Alligator mississippiensis: one gene and its partner. The protein of the gene in region 2 interacts with the protein of the main gene of each other region in a pairwise test. Links are inferred from orthologs where the notes say so. Each region holds a gene or a part of one and is shown on either strand. Other genes may lie near its edges.

Region 1 (7,054 bases), on a different chromosome or scaffold from region 2:
GGTCCTCCAGCTTATCCCTTCACCATTCAGAACAGACGCACTTAACGCAGTGAATGCAACTTCAGTGCACGCAGATAAAACTCCCAAAATTTTGAGATGAACTGAACCTGACATTCTGAAGCAGCTGCCACTACTGGGCAACCTTGAAGTGCTTGCCAGTGACTGCACCCCTCCATCTCTGCTTCTGCCAGAATAGGGAGAGTGGGAGCTTAACCCAGAAAAGAAGTGAGGCACCTGAATGTCATGGGGAGAGTGAATTAGTACATCCATTCAGGAAGTTGGGAAGGGAGGAGGTGGGGGCAAATGATGGGAACACCAGGAGGAAACCTGAATGCAGCTGTGAGTCTCAGGGTAGGATCTGTTGGGAAGGGGAAGGGAGGGGGGAATTTTGGCTCCTAGACACTGAAGCTTATTTGAAGCAAATGAGCCCCAGGTTCAGGGGTGACTGGTGCCTGGTGGGGGGGCACAATTTATGGGCAGGACCAGGGGTGGGCCAAAAGCCCCATATCCACTCCTATATTTCTGTGCTGTGGCTTAGTGCCCCCCCGCACACTACTGGTCCGTGCAGCAAAAAAACTGCCCTGTCCTGAGTGGTGAAGAGTCGGGGGCCAATCTCAGGGGGGCATGTACCCCCCCCCCAGTCATCTGTGCCCAGGTTATATTCACATATGTCACTGAAACTGCACAGTAAAAATCAGACTAAGCAGTTTCAAGTTTTCCTTGCTGACAGTTTCACTTTCTGGTTCTCCTGCATTAGCACAAAACAACAGACAGTACCAGGGGGAAAAAACTATAAATATTAATACAAATGTTTATTCTTCAAAAACTCCCTTCCTAAAACATTACCCAGAAGTCTCCCTTTCCTCTAAACAACACTCTCGGCTTACCCCTGGATCAGACTTGCAAAATTCTTTTTGACCACAAAGGAAGGGAAATTGTTTTGTTTTGTTTTTAAATATAAATTAGAAGGCTAACGTACACAGGAACTGAGAACTTACCTAGCTGCTCCTCGCCTTTGGCTTTACTTTGGATAGAGACTTCATTTCTTGGACAGAAACGGCCCAGCACATCTCTCTCTTTTCAATTACACACAATAATTTCCCCAAATAGTTTTCTATTAATGTCATGCCCTTGTTTCTTATTGGTACCTTATTAAATTTAATTACTTCCAGAATTCCACAGTGTACATCCTAAGACGCATATAGCCTTCATTAAGTCGATTCTTCAAGTAAGTGACAAGCAGCAGCATTTTGTAGTCTGGTTTAAAATTCCCAAATTGTTACGATTGTGCCAATTTTTATCTTGGGACATTTTACTAAAGTACTAGCTCTTGTTGCGACAATGAGTTTTCATTTCCCCAAGGCTTCAAAATACATTTGTCAGTCTGGAGAGCAGCAATGAACACGAATGGAATGTGAAAGCCGATCGTACAGTCTCTTTGCTACGATCACCATTATTTTACAGTTTGGCAATTCAAATTTATTTGAATATGTAAAACACAACACAGAAAATAACTAAAGAAAAAAAATCAGATGTTAGAATGCAAGTAAAACATCTAACTTTATAACTTGGAGGTTTACGTGCAAAATGAGTTTCACTTTCACGTGCAAACTATTTTTTCTATAAAAATGAATCAATGTACTTTATTAAACAGCAATGTTTGGCACCATTCCCTTGTCATCTTACTACTGTATTAATGTTCTTTAGTAACAAATAAACCTTACCTCACTACTGTCCAACAACACTGTCCAGCGCAATCACCCCCTGAATGATTTCACTTTTGTGATGTTGGCAGTTTCCGATACAGTTTTGAACATGTGACCAAGGGTATTTCCAACAGCCATTGTGAATACAACATCAGGGAGTTTTAGATCTGCAGCCACCTACAGTCGGTTGCTTCCCTCTTGTGTACGGCCCAAAGGAGAGCAAACAGGTGAAGACATAAAACCACACAGATGGGAGCAGAGCCTGCGCCGTGACGACTCTGAGCAAACAGTTAACGCAGCTAGGAATAACGAGGTCTGGGCCGGCAAGAAGGAGCTGATCTAACGTGGTCTCAAAGGGAAGTGTTTCTTAAAAGCTCCCTGAAAGGATTCAGAGATAAACTGCGCAGATCCCCGCCGCCCCGCATCCTCCAGCCACCGCTGAGTGAAAGAAAGACGTCGCGGCGGCGAGCCCGTCACAAACCCCGGGGAATAGGTTTAAATAAAATGATACCTTGGGCCTTAGATATTTCTCAAATACTCGTTCCCACAGGGTAGGACTAAAACCATAACCGTAGTACCTTTGCTGTTGTGGGGGAAGCGGCGGGTCCAACCTCTCGTCACCTGCAAATAACCAAACAACCGGTTTCTGGGACGCTCCTGCTGCGCCTCGCAGCCCGCGGCGAGACTCGAGGCAATGCCAGCTTCGTTTTCGCTCCTCGTTTTGAGGATGGAAAAATAGAGCCCTTCTCTCGCAAAGAGCGCGGACGCCCGCTGACGTGCAGGACGCTCTTGGCGTTCGGCATCCTGACTCACAGCCCCGGGTGTCATCTCAGGAAGGGTGTTTGCACGCCCAGCCATGTTAGCACCTTGCACAGGGTACGTGGAAACGATCCCCAGATTGACCCGGTTGAGAACTGCGGATCCCATCGGACCAGCAGCGTGCAACTTTCCCCCCCCCTGCAAGACCTTGTCTGTTTGCAAGCTGGATGTGGCAGGTGGGCACCATCCAGCTGTGTAGAGGGGGCTGGGGAAGGGGCACAGCTTGGCACCCCCAAAAACGGACGTGACACCACCCACGGGCAAGAATTTACCCCCGCGCCCTAGTGTAGACAGCCCTCGGCGGCAGGGGCGGGGCGGGGCGAGAGGCGGGGGCGGGGCCGAGCCCCCCTAGAGGCGTGGGGAGGCCCCGCCCCTGCTCGCGGAGGCGTCGCTCACCTGCGCGGCGGGTCGCGGCCTGGCTCCGCGCATGCGCCCTGCGCCTCCTGGTTACCTCCCCCGACGCACCTCTCGGTCCCTACGGAAGCCCGGAAGGGCCGCTGGGCGGGGAGGTCACGTGAGGGCGGGCGCCGGCGCCATCTTGGCCGCGCTTCCTCGGGCCCCGCCCCAGAGCCCGTCGGGGCGGGGGCACAAAAAGAGCCAAATCTAAATCTGGACGGATTGGGTGGTACTAGTTGGCCGCCCGTGGCGCGGGGGATGTTGCGTGGGAGAGGATGCGTTGCGTCCCCACCCGTGGTTTGAGGGGGCTGGGGTGTGTGGCGACTCCTTCCATGGGACAGCTTAAAACGGGGGCAGGAGTGAGGGGCAGAGGTTAATCGCACACATTTCAAGGGGGGCGCTGAGGAGCCAGGAGATGCTGCCCCGTGGGTGAGGGCGTCCTCCCCGCTGTGGGGGAGAGAGCAGTAGCGTAGCCGGGCCAGGAGGAGGTCGATCAGGAGGCCCTGAGACTCGGTGGAGCTGCTGACGGGAGTGTGTAAACCAAGGTGAAAAAAGGTTGTCCCGTCTAATAAGGGGCTGCCACAATTTCAGCACAAGCGTCTTGAGGAGGTGAAGAGGGGTGCACTCGGGATAGGTGTGTGCCGGGGACTCCCTCTGCTGACAAGGGGCAGGTGTTTGGGGGTGTCCATTAAATGCACCAGATACATGCCTGTGGCAGTGGTTTTGTGGAGAGGTCCACCTAAGGTGGTTTGCAGGATCAAGGTGGAGTATAAGACAGTCCCTTTGCTCTGTGTCCTGCCACTTGGTGTCTGGTCAGTTTGTGATCTTGCTGTTTGCAGGAACCCTGGAGTTGGGTGGGATTGACTCGTACTCTCCTGCATAGCTAATAGAAAGTGACATAACCAGTCTAGAATAAGGTGATGAGACGCCCGAGGAAGGGTACAGGTTTCCCTTGCTGTATGCTGTATATGCATTCCTGGAAAGTGGTGCATAACTTGAATTTGCAAAGAGGGAACCCACTTTACAATGTAATAAATAGGGATATGTTCCAAGACCTCAACTGTACTGATCCCCAGACCCATTTCTACCACTTTTACAAGCCAGTTTTGGTACTCGGCAACAGCAGACAGTACACATAAGCACAGATCACTGTCATAATGGGGATGGCAACTACAGAAACGCATGTCGCAGATCACTAACAAGGAGCATGGATCCACGCAGGAGACTGTATTTTGGTGTGCCTCACTCCCACAACGCACATCACAAAGCACCTGACTGTTTCCACTACAGGGATCGCACAAGAGTGAATTTACCTTGCATACAATGAATTTTTGGTATAAAAAGGGTCATCGCTTAAGAGCAAATTTGGACATACAGAACCTGCAGAAAGGGAGGGAAACCTGTACTGTGATACGCAAAAGCTTGCTTTTGTCTATACTAGTGATTCTCACCATAAACGGACGCGTGCCTCTGGAGGCTGGCGGGGCATGGCAGCTGCCCCCAGGCAGCGGCGGGGGCATGGGGGCGGCAAGCGAGGAGTTCCTGCAGGCAGCCGCAGTGGTGTCAGCAGCGGGAGTGGGGGGTGCCGACCGGTGGTCAGCCTCCACCCGCAGATGCCACTGACACCAGCGACCAGTAGCGATTGGTGACTGCCCGCAGATGCTGCTGGTGGTGTCAGCAGTGAGGGGAGGGGGGTGGTGAGCGGCGACTGCCCGCAGGTGCTGCTGGCAGCATTGGTGGTACTTCTTTCAGGGGATGCATCGTCAATCTCGAGGTGCACCTGCACCTGTGTGCACCCCGTATGTGTTGCCAATGTTCTCAACCTTAAGCTCAAGATGGCCCTTGTTAGACTTGAGGCATCCCTCAGAAAATGCCAGTTGTTCTTAGTTTTCATTTGTTTTTTGACTATGAAAAAATAATAGAGCAATTTTTCTGTTGAAAGCACTGAGAGAGCCCACAACAAGTCAGAATGTTTTAAAACTGTGTATTCCTATTGGAAATCCTTGGGTTTATTTTATGAATTATGTTTGCGCACCTAACAATGATAACATTTTGTGTGGCATCCTGGAAGGATCTCGAGGCATTCCAGTGTGTCATAGTGCCCTGGTTGAGAATCACTGATTTATACCAACCATGTAGTTGGTCCAATGAAAGATGTCACCCACAAGAATGTTTGTCTCTCGCATTATAGACTAGTTATTTTGATATCATTCTTATCAAAATAATAACCCTACAATAAAGCATTCTCATAAGAGCTATCCCATATCAGATAGGCTGGCCAAATTTCCCAGAGACAAGACCTCCATTCAAACAGCTTTAGGAATGTCACCAGCCTTATGATGCTACATACTGGAGCCTACTGAATGCAACTCCCACAGGTAGGTCAGTCCAATTAATAGTACTCTGAACTGGGATTCAGGAGTTGTGGCCCTGAAAGTGATCCAGCTTGGGCATCTGTAAAATGAGGACAGTGATTCTTGATTTTTTAAATATATTTTGAGGTTTTTGGTCGAAAAATGATCTACAACAGCTAAACATTTTATTAGAAGGTTGCAAATAATGGGCAGTAATATTACTTCTGTGGACTCATTTACTCAACCAAGACATATCTGGAAGAAGAAAATGGGTCTTTCTTGCTGATATCCAGGTATTTCTCTGTTTTACACATGGAGAAGGAACAGAAGAGGAAATGAATAAAAATTCTGGTGTCTTGAATTTTTGTTTGGATTGGAAATGTATTTTTATACATTAGAACACAATAGAAGTATATTTTGATATTTTTATATAATCTGTTCTAAACATTGCTTTATTAAACAAGTCTGTTTATATATGGACAGTTGTTTGCTCCCCAATTTACGTGTGCAATATTTAAAGATTTTAAGTTTTAACTACTACATTTTTTTCATGTAACCAAATAGTTTACAAAATATAATAGTCTGGTAAAAAAGAGCCTCCTGCAATATTTTTAAGAGTTATAGTAATAATAAGATTTTTTTTCTTACATATATCCAAATTTAGGCCCTGCGGCACAACTTTGCAACATGCTGGGCAACTCCCAGAATATGGCCAGACTATTTTTGTTCAGAGGTATGATTTTTTTAAACATTTAAATAGTTATGCAGGTTAGATTCTTAGTGTGGACTCTGTTATATTGGTCTCATGGTGCCTACAACAGATCTACTGATTTTTGTTTTTAATATGCAATTTTTTTATTGCAGTGGAAGTTTATATGATCAGCCCTAAATTAAGGTAGGCTGGGTGTGTGTTTAGTTATGTTACATCCATGCAAAGGATGTCCATAACATAACACGTAACTTGTAATTATGTAGCTGCACAAGAGAGCAGCTCTAGTTTATTGAAACTGGTTTCTAAACAATTTTTATTAAATCTGTGCACAATCTTTAATGGTAGCAATAGTTGCATTTTTGGAATATTCCCATGTTTATTGGGAACATCTTTGCAAAATGGTTTTGGCTTGATTTTTATTAGTCTCACTGAGAGTCTTTGGTACTGTAAGTGATGTAGCTGTAGTGGAGTCTCTACCTAACATGAGATCCAGTCATTCGCAGCCATCTAGCTGGGTTCTTTTAGTCTGTTTTGTTTTAAAATAAAAGGGCATGGTCTGATTGTGCGATGTGAAATCTAGATACTCCTTATCAGTGAAGGTGGGGGGAAGATTTTTATAAGAACCCGTGGAGTCATGAGAAACATTTTCATTTTTTTCTTTTAATTTTTAGCCCACTTAAATGGAGCTTTTGTCCATGTGTCTGGAGCATCTAGAGACAACAAAAATGATACTCGACGATAACCTCAGAGCAGCAGTACTGCTCACTGAGCATGTCTACAGGTTCATTAATGTGCTTTTGCTATTGCGCATTAAATTTATTACCTTTAATGTGAGATACTAAGTAAATGCGCATTACGCTGCCCTAATGTGCAAAACCACATGCTGTTTTAGTGACACTTCATGCGCAGTAGCCTATTTTTACTGTGCATTAGCTTATTAGCACAGTTATTTATGTGATGCTTTAATGTGCAGTAAAATAGGCTACTACGCATTAAAGTGTTCATGTAGACATGCCCATTATAAACCATAATCAGTAAGCCAAGAAAATAAAATGCTAATGCAACAT
Region 2 (7,806 bases):
AATGTCATTTTGAACATAATGATGTGTGTGTAATTTAAATAAAGGTCACATAACTCTACTCTGTTATTTAACGTGCACACAAATCTGTGATATGTGGCACTTAAATCAGGGTAGCTTAAGAGTTTGAAAAACAGAAGAAAAGGTTAGAGTTTCTCTTTATTCAGGAACCCATGTACAATCAAAATAAAATTTTAAATATTTTTTCCCCCTTAGTAATATAAAATAGCTCCTAGATGCCATGGGCAATCTCTGTGCACACAAAAACCTGTGACCCTTGGCCGAGTTGTCTGACAAGGAACTCAGCTGAAAGAATGACTTTCTGATGCGTATACCTGTCCACTCAGAAATGGGCTGAGACCATCATATCACTTCACTGGGCCACAAGAACACTCATCACGTTTTAACAATTTTTAGTCATTACTTAATCAACTTTGGATCTAAATCTATTCTTCACTAAGAATTTGTAAAATTGTGCCTAGAAACACATATGGGGACATGATTCAGCATAGGGATGTCAAACATGGCCTGTGGGCCAAATCCAGTCCATGGAGCAGTGTCTTCTGGCCCATGGGGTTCCTAGAGGGGCTGGAGATTTGGGGGTGGGATGAGTCAGGGCAGGGCCCATCACCAAAATCCAGAGTATAGAGCCCACTGGGGATGTGTCAGTGGCAGGTGAAAGCAATGGCTATGTTAACCCCTGCGCTGTTGCCACTGCTGCTCATCCCACCACCAGATGTTGGTCCAGATCTGGCCTGTGAGGAGCCCTCTGGTTTGGGTCAGGCTTGGGGAAGGCAGGTAAGTTTGAGACACCCAAGCTAGTAGGTAATAGATATAAACAAGACAGCTGTCCAGAAAAACCTATCCTCTCACGACTGGGGCCTTATCTTGTAATTTATCCCCATTTAATTAGAAGCCATTGTAAAAAAGGGTAAAAATAAAATCCCTTTTAAAAGGAAGCTGTATGGGAATAGAGCACATGGAGCTTTCCAAAAGGTTTGCCTACCCAAACACTAGCCTTGCCTACCCATGACTGTCTGTCACTGGAAATTCTGACAGCAAAGAGCACCTGCCATGGGTAAGCTGCCAGAGCACTGTTCATGCCCATAAAGCAATTGGTGCCACCACACAGCTCTGCCTGCAGCCCCGCTGGCAGGGCATGAAGTGCACCCTAGACAGGTACCAGGTGCTGAAGGGGCCATAGCATCTAGCAGAAGGTGTGGGCATGTCTACTTCTGCCTTCTGCTAGCTACCAGCCAAGGGTTTCCTTTGCTCACAGAGACAGCATTGCTTTGCAGAGCAGTTTTTAATGAGGATACATTTATATTGCTGCAGACAACACTATGCAGCATAAACTACAGCAGGGAAAATGAGACCCTCTGTAAGAGAAGTTTATAATAGTCTTGGATATGCAGGCTTCACTTTGTCAGTGACAGCACAGGTGACCTGCAAATCAAATTAATAAATGTAATTTACATCAGAATTATGTGCATGTTAAACTGCCCTCATTAAACAGGCATTTGGTATATAAACAACAGGTTCACTCATAAAACAGGAACACTTGTAGCAGAAGTATAATTAGAAAGAAGGAATGAAGTGTTTCAGTGGTTCCTGTAAGAGCTGGAAAGTGCATACTTCAAGGTATGGACAAACACTAATTGTAGGGGTTTTAAAAGAGGAAGGCGAGCTGCTGGTTGGGAGTGTGCAGCAGCTGCTATGCTCTAATGGTTACATCTGCATGATCCCAAGGAGGTAAAAGTTAATTAAATTGCCCTAACTTTAACCCTGAGTGAAGGAGGATCATACAGATTTAACCTTGTATCATAACAGCTTGTACTGGCATACTTTGATATTGATACAATTGTTACATCTGTCTATAACCTCAGAAGAGCAATATTTTTGCTTATAATTCAAACTAGAATTATTTTAAGAGCAGTCCCAGGACTGACATTGTCTTTAAAATCCTTGGAAACCCTTCTGATTCTAGTTATACCATAAAAGCTGCACATTTACAAAAAAACCCCAAAAAACAAAAAGAAACACACACGCACAGCAAAAACCCTGCTGGACTTCTGCCCTTTCTAGTGTTGACCAGGTCAGATCTTGTAGATAAGCAAACAAATGGTCTCAATTCAAGTGACCCGCAACAATATAACATATAATAGATAACAAGTACAATAAAGTATCCCCACGCATAAGGGCAAAGCAGGGTTTGGCCACCACCACCAAAACTGCATGACTGAGACACCTAACAATTGTGGCCCTTGAAACAGATAAAATAAGACTTATACTTACAGAGATGTCATCACTAAAATCGATTTCATCCAAATCAAGGTATTCAGGGGCTTCCATTATTTGTCTATGTACATCTTGGGCGAATCAGAACAGCAGTAAAGTCCTATTTAAAAAGACAGGTAGGAACTTGAGAAAACTAGTGTTATACAAGGGCCTGATACAAAAACCTTTCTATGAAGCCAATGCGTTGCTCGAGGTAACGATCTTCACACCCATCAGAGGACGCTCCCTAAAACTTTACATTCCACTTCTCTTTTTTTGTCTACCCATCGTGGGGGGGGAGGGAGGGGGGCGGGGCAGCAATTGTGGCTACTGAAGCAGCAGGGAGACGTGCCTTGCTGCTGAAGTGAGGGCTGCATCCGAGCAGACGCCTCTGTTCTCGCACAGAGCCAGACTGAAATCGAAGTGACTCCGCATGCACAAAACCGCCGGGCGTGGAGGCATGCCGGGCCGCGGTGTGGGCACGCGGGGGGGCGCGGCCGCGCTGCCTCAGGCCCCTGCCCCGCCCCGCCCCGCCCCGCCCGCGGCCGCGCGGCGCTCACCTGAAGCTGCCGAGGCGCGCGCGCGGCGCCAGGCTCCGAGGTGTGGGGGGGCTCGGGGGGCCGGGCCGGACCGGGCCGGGGGCTGCGCCCGCCCCGCGCAGCTGAGCCCGCAAAAGCGCGCGGCGCCAGCCTCTTCCGGGGGCCGGGGCCGGGGCCGCGCCAGCCTTTCCCGGCGGGGGGCCGGGCTCGGGGCGGCGGAGAGGCAGCGGGGCGGGCTCCGCTGCGTGGGGCGGCGGCGGCGTCGTCAGCGGCAGCGCGGGGAGGGGCGGGGTTTCCAGTCGGGAGCCCAGCCCCCGCCCATGCCCCGCCCCGCCCCGCACGGGAAAGGAGCGGGCACGCTGTGTGAGGGGAGGCAAATTTTGTAGCTTCTCCCTCAAGTGCGTAGCTGTTTGCAGCCTGCCCGGCTGGGGGCATTTGCAGCGGCTGCGCCGTCTCCACAGCTCCGGGCTGGAGGCAGCAGCATGCGGGCCGCCCCCACCGCCGCCCGCCCAGGGCTGCTGCCATCTACAAAGCCCCGCTGCGTCCTGCCGATGCCCTGACCCTGTCAGTGCCTGAGGCTGGGCTGCGAGACCTGGGCGGGGGGCGTGGTGCTGCCTGCGGGACACAGCGGGGAGGGGATGCGGGCACCAGCACCTCCGCGTCAGTGCCCTGCCCCGCCTGCTTACAGGAGCTCAGCACTTGGCTCTTGGGGCAGCCAGCTCAGTAACCTGCTGGGTGCAGACAGAAATGACAAGTTTCGCCTGGTCTGGCCACAGAAAGCGGTTTGTAGTGTGACCAAACACAAGTGCAAGCTGCATGCTGTTTAAAAACATTGCCGATTGGATGAAAATCTGTCCCCTCGGGCCATGAAGGGCGAGATGAAGGCATGGCAAAACAGAGCATCTTCTGTAACTTCTGTCTGGGCCGTGTGCTGCTCCTGGTTTTGGCAAATAGTTTAAGATGGCATATTATTCAGTTTCTTTTGCTTTGTTAAATTATTTCAGGCTTTGTTTTTGCTCTCTCAAACCAGTTTGTACTATTCCTTTTACGTTGCCTGGTTACACTGATTAATAGTCAGCCATTGCTCTCTCTACATTGACCGATTTATTTTGCTTTGTTAAACTGATTCATATTCAGCTGTTGCTCTGTCAAAATAGTTCATATTTTTCAGTTTTATTTTGCTCCGTTAAATCATTTCTTGTTCCATTTTTCAGTCTTTTAAACCAGTTCATATTTTTCAAGCTTTAACTGTATCAAAACAGGTCATAGTCAGTTTAATTTGATCTCTCTACTATGGGTTCCTAGATTTAAAGACATCATATTGCTCACTTGTTTGTGTGTTTTTCTGCTCTGATTGCCTTCTTGGAAATACTTACCCAGATTTACACACACTTCAAATAAATTAAATTATTTCTGATTTTGCCTATTTACATTGCTTGCAGTGCCTTTGGTTTGTGTGAACTTCAGGAAATTTTACAGTTACAAGGCATATAAATATCTAACTTTGGTTCTTTACTATCCATAAAGTTAGATATTTGAAAGTTACAGCCAGCATGGAGAGAATTGTATGATTTTGTGCAGCAAGGGGATGGTGTTGTCTGTAGCATGTGCAATGAAAGTGTGCTATCTTGTACTTCCAGCACCCAGTGACATTTTGCAACCAAGCACGAAGCCAAAATTTTCTGGAGTCAGTGAAGCAGACAAATGTGAATCCATTATAAAAGCTGTTGATTCATTTCTAAAACACAGACAGCTTTTCTTGTTTTGTAGCTAGAAATACTCTTTCCACACAGGCAAATTACATTGCAGCTCTAACTATAGCTCAGGAAGGCAAGTATTTTACAGATGGAGAATACTAAAAGGATTCTCTCTTACAATGTGCTGAGGATCTGTTTTAGGATTTTGCAAATAAGGAAAGCATTATTGTTTGCATTGATGAAATGCCATTGTCATCCAGGACTGTTCAGAGGTGAATAGATGAAATGGCAATTAATGTTAGGGAACAAATGATTCAAGATCTCCCTGCTTGTAATGCGATAAGGCTTGCACTGGATGAAGGCACAGATATAAATGATATCCCCCATCATGCTATAGTTGTTAGATATTTTGTCTCGGTTTGGGAAGTTTGGAGGAATTGTTTTCTTTGAGTACTATGCATAGCACAATAAAAGGCCAACAATATATTAATGCTGCCCTAGGTATTTTGCACACAGTGAGAAATTGACCTGCACAAAATGTTTTCTGGTATGACTGATGGTGCATCTACTATGGCAGGTAAAACAGCCAGATTTGTAAAGCTTCTGAAATGGAGTTTGGACATCCTCATGAGTTTCCATTGTGTTATTCATCAGGAGAGCCTGTGCGCTAAGATCTCATCTTCTGATCTAAACAAAATCATGACAGTGGTTGTGAAATTTGTCAACCTTTTAATCGCCCGCTCTTCTTTGACATACAGGAGATTCTGTGAACTTTCAAATGATATGGATTCTGCATATGGATATTTAGCGCTGCACAGTAATGTATGCTGATTGAGTTGAGGTGACATGCTCAAGTGCTTTCTTGCTTGTTTCAGATCCATCAAGCTGTTTCTTGAGGAAAAAGTGGTCAGTAACATGCAGACCTTACTATGACAGATGGCAAACAAAACTGATGTCTTTGACAGACATTGCATCACATTTAAATGATTTGAATACTAGGTTACAAGGAACATGGAAAACCATCCTTCAGCTGTCTGAAGACTGGGAAGCTTTCTGTGATAAGTTGTTCATTTTCAGACAGGATATTTAAATATTTGCCTTCCATTACTTGCTCAGTCTGAAAAATCCATTCTGGGTAACATCAATTGAATAATAGGGGTATATGAAACTACATAGGACAGCTGGAAGATGAATTCGCAAGACTATTCCAAGACTTTTGCAACACAGGACCCATGTTTTCACTTCTGGTGAACCCAGACAATACTGTGAAAGTGACACAGAACTGCGGTATTTTCAGTGACTGAACATTGAAGGATTTGAATTGGAACTGATTGACTTTCAAAGCTCATGCATCTGAGTAGCAAAGTTCAAATGGTTGTGAGGTGAATTTGAGAATGCAAGGGACTAGCAACTCAAGATTACAGCATATTGGTCTTCCCTTCTTCAAAAGTATGCCTGCATGAAAAAAAAGTAGCTTTTGCTTTGCTGTCCATCTTTGGTTTTCATTTGTGAAAACACTTGTTCATAGTGGTAAGTAGATCCATACTCAGTCCTGTGACAAACCATCTGACAACTGACAGTTCGGATTCATGTTTGCATTTGATGACAGCTAGCTACCAGCCTAACATCCATCACCAATCTTAGCTGTCAGAAGCAGGGCCAAGACAGGCACCAAGAAAAAAAGTCTTTTACTTGAGAGCATTTTTACTTTTTTGTGGCAGTCAATACAGAGCATCTATTTTAAGGAATTAAGTTTATCCTTAAAGAACCAGTGTCTTCCATGGCAACATCTCTCTGGAGAGGCATGGGCATCGTGTAGGGGTGGAAGAGACCCAGGATGTAATCTCCCAAGCCTCACTGTAAAAGGCCAAGAACAATCAGGTGCCAACTCCTCCCTCTCTATTCTACCTACCATTTAAGGCTAACGTATGGTGGGTGACTGAAGAGAAGACAGGAGTAGGGTAGGTAAAAGTGGGTTAGGACCCTGTGACCAAGGGCCTACTCTGCCTCCTGCCGCAATAAATCACCAGGGGGTTAGTGCTTTTCTTTCTCTTCTCCCCCCCCCCCCCCCCCGTGTCTCCTCTTTTTCTCTGTGTCATCACAGCATGCTTTAAAAAAAACAAATACACAAAGGCAGTATATGAACCTTTATTTATTGTCACCAGGTTTAGAATTTTTAAAAACACTGCCTATCCCTGACATACAGCATTTATGCAAGTTATTCCAGAGGGTGATATTTTCTTCTAAGCTTGTTGCTTCAATGGTGAACCCTTTCCCTGCCCTCCCCAAATTCAATTAAAGTATTACTAAACTATAAGGTTACATGGTTAAGCAATCTAAGATCATGAAATGCCAAATGTTTAAATTGCACATGACAAATCTGTAAAAAATTTTAAATGTCCCTGTCATGAAAGGTCATCATCATAGTTCCTTTTTTCTTTTTACTTCAAAGAATGCACTATTGTCTTTAAAGCAAGAAATGTTTAATTCTATTGGCCCAAACAAAGGAGTAAAGGAAACAAGAAGGCTAAGTATTTTAAAGTAGTGTAGAGAGTAGAGATTTAGAGGGTCTTTGATGGAGACTGCAGTTCAATTAATTTATACTGGGTACAATAGAAAAAAGGCAACACAAGTTCCGCTACCTTGTTTCCCCAACGGGTTTTCACTCAAGACCTTTAGGAATAACTTCTAGGGGCCATAGTTTAGTTTTTAGGTCTACTCAAAAAAACTTGGACATCCCTAGAAGGTCCAAGATAACAGTAGCCACCTTTAATTAGAATGGGAAAAAATAATTATCAATGCTTTTTCAAAAGATCAAAAGACCACTGAACAATTAGAAGGCGATTACTACTTTGGTCATATTTGACCAGAGGCATATTTTTTGTTTATACTAGGTGTAGCTACATGTATAATTAGCATGTAGCAATAAGCTCCAGCACAGTTTCTGCAGGAGTCAGCTGCTCCCAGGCACAACATCTTCACATGTGCCCAGGACTGCAGCTGTTTGAGCCAGGGTGGAGCAGCCCCAGACTGGTTGCAGGTGGGGGAAGCGCAGGCTCTGGGTAGCAGTGTCAGGGCTGGCAGGCAGTCCCCATACTGTAACACCCTCATGCCTCAGCCAGCCCTGGTCACTCTATAAACATGTGTTTTGGCACACTAAATGACTCTGCCATAGGTTGATACTAGTCTCAGACAGTACTATCCTACAGCAGAGGTAATTAAATTTACTGTGTTCTAATACTGATGCATGTGTAGACAGCAACACTTTACTGCAGACCTAATTAGTCAGCTCCACA

What was found.
Region 1: the proteins of SNCAIP (region 2) and NUB1 interact in a two-hybrid assay, tested with the Homo sapiens proteins (2 studies listed by BioGRID). The link is inferred for Alligator mississippiensis from reciprocal best matches to the Homo sapiens genes SNCAIP and NUB1.

Annotation. Positions count from the first base shown.
Region 1 is NC_081828.1:207,581,234-207,588,287, forward strand, and holds the start of NUB1 (NEDD8 ultimate buster 1), read right to left. Parts: upstream 3,020-7,054; 5' UTR 2,922-3,019; intron 2,328-2,921; 5' UTR 1,725-2,327; intron 1-1,724. UniProt on the Homo sapiens protein: Specific down-regulator of the NEDD8 conjugation system. Recruits NEDD8, UBD, and their conjugates to the proteasome for degradation. Isoform 1 promotes the degradation of NEDD8 more efficiently than isoform 2.
Region 2 is NC_081826.1:219,852,330-219,860,135, forward strand, and holds the start of SNCAIP (synphilin-1), read right to left. Parts: upstream 3,015-7,806; 5' UTR 2,835-3,014; intron 2,717-2,834; exon of another isoform or gene 2,627-2,716; intron 2,396-2,626; 5' UTR 2,350-2,395; coding exon 2,293-2,349; intron 1-2,292. UniProt on the Homo sapiens protein: Isoform 2 inhibits the ubiquitin ligase activity of SIAH1 and inhibits proteasomal degradation of target proteins. Isoform 2 inhibits autoubiquitination and proteasomal degradation of SIAH1, and thereby increases cellular levels of SIAH.